Xenopus tropicalis: one gene and its partners. Each later gene encodes a partner of the first gene's protein in a complex. Links are inferred from orthologs where the notes say so. Each region holds a gene or a part of one and is shown in the gene's direction. Other genes may lie near its edges. The genes, in order: nog, bmp7.1 and bmp2.

The links.
Region 2: the proteins of nog (region 1) and bmp7.1 are in contact, whole or in part, in a crystal structure (PDB 1M4U), measured with the Homo sapiens proteins. The link is inferred for Xenopus tropicalis from reciprocal best matches to the Homo sapiens genes NOG and BMP7. Residues at the interface, in NP_005441.1 of Homo sapiens: His29, Tyr30, Leu31, His32, Ile33, Arg34, Pro35, Ala36; in NP_001710.1 of Homo sapiens: Phe365, Pro366, Leu367, Asn368, Ser369, Asn375, Ile378, Val379.
Region 3: the proteins of nog (region 1) and bmp2 are in contact, whole or in part, in a crystal structure (PDB 7AG0), measured with the Homo sapiens proteins. The link is inferred for Xenopus tropicalis from reciprocal best matches to the Homo sapiens genes NOG and BMP2. Residues at the interface, in NP_005441.1 of Homo sapiens: Ile33, Arg34, Pro35, Ala36, Pro37, Ser38, Asp39, Asn40, Pro42, Leu43, Val44, Asp45, Leu46, Ile47, His49, His199, Arg204, Arg206, Pro219, Ile220, Gln221, Tyr222, Pro223; in NP_001191.1 of Homo sapiens: Trp310, Asp312, Trp313, Val315, Ala316, Pro317, Pro318, Gly319, Tyr320, Ala368, Ile369, Ser370, Met371, Leu372, Tyr373, Lys379, Val380, Val381, Leu382, Lys383, Asn384, Tyr385, Gln386, Met388.

What each region holds. Positions count from the first base shown.
Region 1 is NC_030686.2:25,897,543-25,899,884, forward strand, and holds nog (noggin), read left to right. Parts: upstream 1-1,113; coding exon 1,114-1,782; downstream 1,783-2,342. UniProt on the Homo sapiens protein: Inhibitor of bone morphogenetic proteins (BMP) signaling which is required for growth and patterning of the neural tube and somite. Essential for cartilage morphogenesis and joint formation.
Region 2 is NC_030686.2:5,568,765-5,572,520, forward strand, and holds the start of bmp7.1 (bone morphogenetic protein 7), read left to right. Parts: upstream 1-1,404; 5' UTR 1,405-1,590; coding exon 1,591-1,987; intron 1,988-3,207; exon of another isoform or gene 3,208-3,228; intron 3,229-3,756. UniProt on the Homo sapiens protein: Growth factor of the TGF-beta superfamily that plays important role in various biological processes, including embryogenesis, hematopoiesis, neurogenesis and skeletal morphogenesis.
Region 3 is NC_030681.2:25,391,510-25,395,265, forward strand, and holds the start of bmp2 (bone morphogenetic protein 2 precursor), read left to right. Parts: upstream 1-1,384; 5' UTR 1,385-1,781; intron 1,782-1,789; exon of another isoform or gene 1,790-2,101; intron 2,102-3,756. UniProt on the Homo sapiens protein: Growth factor of the TGF-beta superfamily that plays essential roles in many developmental processes, including cardiogenesis, neurogenesis, and osteogenesis. Induces cartilage and bone formation.

The sequences.
Region 1 (2,342 bases):
CTCGACTTTAAATCTGAAATACCAACCTCATAGCTTGGTGTCCCCTTCCCTCAGCGGGGGTAACTGTACTACATGCAACCGCAGAGCCCACATGTAGCCGGCGGAGTTTATAGTCCACGTTACACTTTCCAAGCGACCAGACCGCAGAAGAATAGTCTGATCCGCGAAGCTTACATTTTAAACTCGCATGTGACGTTTGAGGGTAGAGCGCTGGCTCTGTTCTAAATATAGGGAAACTATCAATAATATACAAAACATCTTCTGATGCTTCAAGACAAATATGACTACAGATAGAGGATTTCGCGTTATGATTAAATCAGTGAGAGAGCGGAGCCGCTAGCGCAGACAGGGAATTCCTGCAGTGCTGCAATGTGCCATAGAGTACCAGCAGAGGGCGCCAGAGTCAAGCGGCAGTCGCTCCGGTCTGTCCCACTGAAAGACGCGCCCACCGCAGGTCCCACCACTCAAGAGAAGAGGGAGGTGTCATCCAAGCAACCAACCCTGGCCATGGGCCACCACACTACTTAAACATGAATGACATCACAGCCGTATGGAGCCTGGCTAATAAATCCTAAGTAGCCAGAGGGACGAGGTACAGACTGAGTGTGGTGCAGAGTTTATCCAGGGCAGAGCAGCAGAGCCCCCCAGCAGCACATTGCAACCTCTCTATGGGCTCCTGCGAGTAAAGAGACCTGCGGGGATTTGCATGGACAGATGTAAGGGATCGTGCAACTTGGCTGCATCCCTATAGCGAGGAGCCGTGGGAGTCGCTGCGCACAGCTGGCTGATTGCGACCGTCGCAGCTTTCTTACACCTCCCTTGTCCCACTGTTTCTTCTTGGAGAAGATCGAGTCTCTGGTTACCATGGTGATCGAGCTGAAAGTGAAGAATATTTAAGAGAGGGGAGGCTGGAGGCAGCAGGCAGACACAGTGGTGCCACCAAGGGCTGTGCGTAAGGGGCAGGGGAGACAGACGGGGCTCTGAACTTCCACTTGTCTGCAATGAGAGGGGGGTGCCCCTGAACCCCCCCAATTCCTCCTCTGATGCATTATTTATGATCTCTGGCAAGAAATCGGGAGCACCCTACTCTTATATTGTGCAGCTGTGTGCAGCATGGATCATTCCCAGTGCCTTGTGACTATATATGCTCTCATGGTCTTCCTGGGACTTAGAATAGACCAGGGGGGCTGCCAACATTATCTGCACATCAGACCAGCTCCTAGTGAAAACCTACCACTGGTGGACCTTATTGAGCATCCGGATCCTATCTATGATCCCAAGGAGAAGGATCTTAATGAGACCTTGCTGAGGACTTTAATGGTTGGCCACTTTGACCCCAACTTTATGGCCATCAACCTGCCGGAGGAGAGACTTGGAGTGGAGGACCTTGGGGAGTTGGATCTCCTTCTTAGGCAGAAGCCCTCAGGGGCAATGCCAGCAGAAATCAAAGGACTGGAATTTTATGAGGGGCTTCAGGGCAAAAAGCACAGACTGAGCAAGAAACTCAGGAGAAAGTTGCAGATGTGGCTCTGGTCCCAGACCTTCTGTCCTGTCCTTTACACATGGAATGACCTAGGGACCAGGTTTTGGCCTCGCTATGTGAAAGTAGGTAGCTGCTACAGTAAGAGGTCTTGTTCTGTGCCAGAGGGCATGGTTTGCAAAGCTGCCAAGTCTATGCATTTGACCATCTTAAGGTGGAGATGTCAACGCAGGGTTCAGCAGAAGTGTGCATGGATAACCATTCAGTACCCTGTCATATCTGAGTGCAAATGTTCATGTTGAGACTCTTGGACTAATGCAAAAGACAGTAGCTTCATGGTTCAAGCTTCATGTTATATGCACTGTAATATGTAGAAATGTATATGTGTGTATATATGGCATTGGTCTAAATTACTATTAAAAGGTCAGTATTATTCTTTTAAATAACCAGTGTCTACTGTATTTCCAACACTATTATCCTGGTTGTGTTTTATTTTAATATTATTATTTTTTTTGCCTAATGTATCTCTATTTATATCCAAAAAAGAGCACTTCGCTCCGCGAAGCATTTTTTTTTTTTTTTTCAAGAAAAACAAATTTAATAGTTTAATAATATAGAAGCATTTTTTCCCTTTATGGAAAACTTGCCTTTTTGATGAACCTCAAAAACAAACAAAAAATGAATAAAAACCAGAGTAAGATATAATTTTCAGTTTATTGTACATAGAGAGAACACATTTTGAAATATGAAAATTTACTCTTGTAAATGAGAACTATCTGCTATTTATTCTTTTATTTTTTTTTTCTCCCCCCTGTAGAGTGCAGAATAAAAGTAAACCACTAAAATATTAAACTGGTGCTTA
Region 2 (3,756 bases), about 20 Mb from region 1:
CTGTATTGTGTTATAACTTAATATTTGTGTTCCTCAAATACATTTTTACAAAACATGCTATAGTTTGGATGGTGAGGCTAGTAACGCACGAGGAAGACTTGTCACCCAGTGGCAACTGAGCTGTTATCTTACTCGGCACAGAAGAGCCTGCAGGGTCACTCCTGACTTCCTGGACATTCTGATTGGCTGTTTGCAAAGAGACTTGTAAACAGTGAAGCATCATTTTGATCTTTCCTTGCAACCACTATTCAAGAATTACTAATATGGTATTAAATATTATTGTGGAAGGATAGGTTATCCCCCAAGTCATCATGGAGGGGCACATTTTGAGGTGATAATTTTGGGCTGTGGGCTGCTCGGTCCTGTTCTGTCGAGCGGTTGCACAATTCTGGGTGTCATTGTAGTTTAGCTGCCTCCGCTCCCTATAAATTTTATAGCAGTATAAATGCTCGTAAATGTGTGACATTATTACCTTAATACATGCATTAAAAGCACGTACGGAACTGGCCTCAAATCTTGGGATGAATAAAGTAAGCTCAAACTGAGTCTATTATATTTATTATAAGATAAAGAAACTTAACCTATGCCATCAAGGCCTTCTCTGTTTCAGTTGCACTAAAGGTGGCCATACACGTTAAGATCCGCTCGCTTGGTGAGGTCTAAGGGACCGATATCGGCAGCTACAGTCGGCCCGTGTATGGCCACCGTAACATCCAAATCATAGATGTGCTAAAGGCAAAATACTGTATACCAAGGACCCACTTATTTATAGATTGTAAGCTCTTTTGGGCAGGGCTCTCATCACCTTCTGTTTTTCTTATTGGTTACTGTGTATGTCCAATGTATGTAACCCACTTATTGTACAGCGCTGCGGGATATGTTGCCGCTTTATATGTTAATAATAATTCCTCATATTTAGATTGCAAGCTGTCAATGCAAGCATTCCATAATAGAGACAGCTTTGACTGCTAAACTTTCAGCAAATCACTGTGTGCATTATTAGCATCGATTCTGTTTATAGAATGTCCCAAACAGCCTTCCCTGTCGGAGAAAAGGAGGCTAGCCACATATGCCTGTGCCCTCCAGTTGAAATGATAATGAGACACAGACAGTCCTTAATCTGTTTACTTTCAATTACCAAATAGACAGTGGCCCACCCTTGTCTGTAGTCTTGCAAACATCCTGAAGCAACCTGATGGGATTCACAGTGCAGTTATTTCTTTCTCTCTGTTTATGCCCTCCTTCTTACTGCCTGCTCCTCCCACCACATTCAGTCTCCTGCTGGCTCCGTCTGCCTTCACAAGCCACTTAGACTTTGCTAGAGAGACAGAGAGGACAGATCAGACCCTACAGGGCAGAAAAAACAAGGATTAATCTGTATATCTGTCTTCCTTTGTCCTGTCGCCTGTTACAAAGTCTCACAATGACTGGGTTCAGCTGATGCAGAGGAAGCCTCCAGCTGTTCCAAGTTAGTGAGAACTTCAGCTGAGAGTTGGATGCACTGGTTTGATTTAATGCTCATTTATTGATGGTCTCCCCTTTGGAGAGAAGGGCAGGTGCTGTAGGTTTTGCCGTACAGATCCAAGGGAAATGAATGTTCTGCAAAAGAACAAAACGGGTTCTGTGCTCCTTTGGACATACTTCTTGTGGAGGATCATCCTGGCCGACTTCACCTTGGACAATGAGGTGCACTCTAGTTTTATCCAAAGGAGGTTGCGAGGCCAAGAGCGCAGGGAGATGCAGAGAGAGATTTTATCCATCCTGGGGCTGCCGCACAGACCCAGACCCCATTTGTATGGAAAGCAAAATTCTGCCCCTATGTTTATGCTGGATTTGTACAATGCTATGACAGTGGACGAAGAGGAAGCTGAAGGCTTCTCTTATCCATACAAGCCCATCTTTACCACCCAGGGGCCACCGCTGGCCAGCCAACAGGACAGCAACTTCCTCAATGACGCCGACATGGTTATGAGTTTTGTTAATCTAGGTGAGTACTGTTATCCCTTATCTCTTGCCTGGAGATGTCTTAACAGTTTGTTCTAGGTTCCAATAAACTTTCATATATGGCAGAAGTTTTATTGATTATACTATGATTTCAGTAACATTTTCCCATGCTTTACTGCAGAAACAGTCTCTGCAAACACAGGTTTTTAGCATTGCACGGAATTAGATTGTAAGCTTTTTACTTTTCCTTTACCCATTGGTGTCTGCTGGCTTTGAAGCTTTGCTTATTAGGAATGCAGTAGTCATATTTGGCAAAAGCACTTTGCTTGTAGTTTGTTTGGCGTGCCTTCCAGGGCATATTCTCAGGTGGAATGGTCTAGCTGCCTGCTACATCCGAGCAATTTCTTGGGATTGTACATGATCCGACAGGTCTGCGCACTTCTTTTGAAGTAGCAATTACTGTACAGAATAAGAAGAGAGCAGGAAATTCTGAGCCCAGCAGAGTTCAAAGCAGAACGCTCAGTGATTCACACTACGAAAATGAGCACAAATGGACTAGAGCCCTATTAGAGCGCTTAATAACATCCTTCAAACTGCATTGCTGCACCACCCTTTTACTGCTTGTGTCTTTGCAGCAAGGGATTCTCTAATGTGCCTTTTCAAGAAAGATGCATAAAGTAACTTGATTGCTGAAAGCTTAGTGCGTACACGGAACAGTCTCCCAGCATGGGGTTGTGCAAAGTGTTTCATTAAAGGGACAGACACACAAATATCTGTCCGTGTGATAAAATTCCAAATTATATATGTAGACACGTTTTAGACAGGTAAAAATACCCCGTAATATAGCACAGCCTACTAACTAGTATGAACTTCTAATCCCAGCGTTCCCAGTCGGCTATGTGCCGTCGGGGCAGTCAATCTTCATTGCACAGAAAGTTGCATCTGAATCTGCTTCCCTGTTTTCTGTAGATCAGTGGAAACCTTATGTCTTTAAATGATTGTGGGGTTTTGCCGCAGCGATAAAAAAACAGCTTGTGTTGTATAAACAGTGTTGTAATATTTGTTGTTTACATTGTTTTCTCTGTTATTGTTGTAATATCAACCCCCCCCCCTCGTAGGACGAACAACACTAGCAAACAGTCTAGAAGCAAGGGAACAAATATGAGGGCTTGATAAGACTACTAAGGCCAAATTTTCTGCTTAGGGAGAAGATGACTATCTTATGAAGGAGAAATAACCCGTAAAAATAAAATTTGTACAGACCTCTACCTCCCAAAAAAGTTAGTTGAACATCGCTGACAGGAGAGACATTGCGTTGAAACAGTAACTGAAAACCTTTCTGTAGTTCCATTGTTGATTCTTTGGGAACTTGGATTATTAGACTGTCAACACTAAGTAAGAGGGACGCAATCAGCCGGAGAAACAACCCTTTATTTCAAGCAGGTGTTCTCTTATCATAAATTACATTGTAAAATGCAGCATCTGTGATGGTTCCGCTAGCAGCCTATAATTTTAAGTTTAAGATTAGGGTGGCACAGAGTTAAGATGGCTGTACACACATACATGTGCTCAGTTGGTGGGATTGCCAAACAAGTAGATCTTTCACCCATTTTGCCACCCATGTACAGGGCAAAAGTAAGCTGATCTGGTCAGGGCCAACAATTGGATCCTAATGTAGGTCAATGCAGATCTTTTGAGGGAGAACCTCATCTATGAGCCAGTGATTCTGGTTTAGTGGGATTTACAAACCTGCTGGATAGATATCTGGCAGATTTTTAATAGGGATGCACTGAACCCAGTTTTTTGGGTTTG
Region 3 (3,756 bases), on another chromosome or scaffold:
CCTTTAAAGGCAATAGGGGTCATTTTCATTACCCTGGGGCATAAGTGCTAGAGCATTAAGGTGCAAAAGAGCACACCCATTAGTACTCACTTAACAAGCACTTTGAGCAGAGTAGAGCACGGACAAGCGCTGGCCTTATTGCTTGTTCTAACAGGTCTTACTGGCCTGCAGTACAGGGACTCCAGCAGTGGCGTAACAGAGGTGGGGCATGGGCTGATCAGGGTGGGGTATGTGCAGATCAGGGCAGGGTATGGGTGGATCATGTGCGTATTTAGATTCGGTGCTGCCCTAGGCTCCAGACCTAAATACACCGCTACTGTTTGTGTGACGTCACATGACATCACCCACAGCATGCACGTGACGTCACTTCCACCAAAGCCTGTGACTCCTAACCCCCTCACCCTCCTGCTCTGTTGCCGGATTTACTAGGGAAATCTGTGGTGAAGGCTGGGGGAATTTTTTTTATACATTAAATAGGCACTGGCCCTCGGGTGCCTTAATATAAATAGGCCCCTGGGTGGATCAGAGACAGGAGGGGAGGTGCTGCTTATGAAGGGCAGTTCTGAGCACCTGAGTCTCTCAAGGTAAAAACTTTAAGAAAGAAGGGGGATTACAAATTTATGGGCAATTACATTGCCAGTAAATTTGTAATACCGGCACCAGCCCTAGGTGGGGAGCTGCACAAGCATGAAAAAAGTTCTTTGGGGTGTCAAATAACAGCTGTGATTGGCTATTTGGTAACCCCATGTGACTGCTGGATTGCAGGAGGCTCTGCTTGGGGTAAAACTGTGTCTCTGGGCTTCCAAAACTTGTCTCCAAGCCAGAAATGTAAAAATGGCACCTGCTTTTAGGCCACTGGGAGCAACATCAAAGGGGGCAGTGAGCAACATGTTGCCCCTGAGCCACTGGTTGGGGACCCCCGTATAAATGATACACACAGTAAGAAGTGGGAGGGGGCTGGGGGCTCCCTCAACAAGGGCCAGGTGGAGTGTAGAACCTGCTGCAGTGCAGATAAGGCCAAATGTGGTGTTCAAAGTGCAAAAAATGGCTGTTTGCACTTTGTTCTGCCTGATCACTGCCCCCCAGTGACTAGAGGGGTACTAAAGCCATAATGAATAACCATAATGAATGCGTTGTAGCAAGTGCCATAGCAGGAACAGGGCTGCTGCAATGGGAGTGGGATCCAGCAGGGGGCGCATACAATCTATATATAACAGTGGGGATGTGAGGAGGGCTGGATTGGTCAGGTTTGGCGAGCACCTCCGTGCCTGTGTGCGGCTGGCTCCTGATTGGCAGAGAGCCTGATGACATCAGGATAGAAACAAAAAGCAAAGGGACGCACGAAAAGTGGAGAGAGGAAGAAGCTGACCGGCCGGGGATGAGCTGCAGCCCAACTGCCTCTTACAGCCGGGATACAGGGAAAGGTCGCTCCTCTGCGCATCCCACTCCAGCGCTGCCTCCTTGTCCCATTCAGCGCTAATGCCTGCGGCTGCGCTGCGCTGCTATTTGCACAGGAGATCGCAGTGACATCCCGGTGCGACTCAGACCGACTCCAGTCGGGGGAGGATAACTTGGTGCTACATTGGGGCGTTCTTGGTTAAGGGACACACGATCAGTCGCACCGAGTATGTGCAAAAAGAGAAGGACTGGGCTGCGACTAGACGCGCAGATTTGCCTAATAGCCCTGGGAAGGAGAAGTTTGGAGTAAAAAGAGTCAAGTGATGTGGAAAAAACACACGGAGAGCAGAAAACCATCATCGAGACACAAACTCGGCGCACAGGTACTTACCCATCGCGACACAATCGCTCCCCCAGCTGCTGGCGCCGGTGTGGTTTGATAGGCAGTTGCCTTTATGGTGGATGATGTGTGCAGTAAATGGGCAGTAGAACGAATTCTGAATTAGGCTTTTAGTGAAGCCTTCTGATTAACTACAACTTCCAGCGTCTGTCCTGGGATACTAGGGGCTGTAATAGAGCAGCTGGAGACCCCAAAGTTGCAGTCAGTAATCCGGGCAGCTACTGTGTCGCAAGTTCCAGGCGTGTGGCCGTTCCCACTCCCCTATCGTTCCTTTCACCTGATTGCTTTTATTACGTGCGGATTTGCCGTTGGCCAGTGACGAGGGTGCATCTGCGCCGCGATCCCACACCTGCACCCTGCCGCACAGACGCAACCACTGCTTCTGCAACTCATGGGCGACTTTTGTCCCACTGCATCACTGCTATACAGTGTGTTGGCTGGCACAGGCTGCTCGCATTTAAAGCCCACTCTCTATAACAATCTGCCCGGCTGATAGGAAGCCCCTCATTTATTTTCCCGACGGGTTAACCATTTCCAGGTCAGCGTGGGGGGCAAATCGCACTGTAGGCAGTAGTGATCCCTACTAGCTTGTAGTATAGGGGATGGGGCAAGATGACTGCCATGCTGTTTTTGCATGTGTTTGGTTGATTAGAATTTAATAATGATACATGTAGCTTTGCTTTCTGCCATAGTGCACCTTTATATATAACTAGGGATGTCCTGGTGGTGCCCAGGGCTAAGCAGACTTTGTAGCTGCAACAGCCATTGTAATGTGTTGATTGTTGTACTTAAACAACTGAAGGACTGCAGGTTGGGCAATTCTTATAAAGTGTTACTGTCTTCTCATTGCCCCACTGTTCTGGTCTGCCACTATCTGCTAGTTCTTAGGGTTCCATTAGCCTTCCATTCTGCAACATTTACTTCTTAGATTTATGGACATGTCTACTGTTAGTCTGTGCTTCAGCCATGGACTATAAGGGTGAAGACACACAGAGCTACTTAGTAGCAGCTACTTGTTACGGCTACTAAGCACTAGAAAATACCATGCCATAGACAATACTGAGAATTGCTAAACATATGTAGAGACAATTATCAGTAAATGATCAGCATTGTCTATTTTAGTAGCCACGACAAGTAGCTGCTACTAGTAGCTTTGTGTGTCACCCTTCTAGTCCATGGCTGAAGTTCAGACTAACCGTATACATGTCCCTAAATCTAAGAAGTGAATGTTGCAGAATGGAAGGCATGTTCTAGATATGGCAACTCTGCTGCTAAATGAGCAGTTGGCAAGTCTCTCTGTGTTGTTGGTTGTTTGTGAGACTATGAAATACGTGTAGGACGAGCAGTCTTGGCTTTCCGCTGGGGGGGCACGTGCTCTGTGTGATGTGAGAGAGATCGGCACTGAACTGTAATGTGGAGTTTCCCAAACATGTCAGCCCGTGACCGCTGGAACAGACGCAGCCCTTGTCTGTCTTGATCCACAGTGCAATGCAAAACTTACATGCTTAAAGAAAAATTGCAAATTGTTGCACGTGCGCTCACTACTGCAGCTGCTTTACATTATTGTTGAACTAATGTTGTTGTGTCACCTAGAAATCTATATATTGTAATCCCCTGGGAATCTCCACACGCAGCTTGGGTTAGGCAGGGTGCCCTGTATAAATTCCATTGGGTAACTGCTAAGAAGTTTTGGTGTTGTCTGGTGTGTGCTGAAGCCCTTTCACTCTATAGATGTTGTTATCTGCTATACAAGCCAGATAGATCTCTTTCAACTAGCACAAATCGCCCGCACCCCTTCCCAATCCACAAATGGGATTTTATACCTCTGTAGGAAACATATGAACATCCAGGTACAGCAGCTACTATGTCCCTGTGTGGCTTATGCCATAGACCAGTACTGGCTTCTTGTCTATAATGCAGGAGGTTCAAGAAAGTATTTGTTTCCTTCTAAATGTATT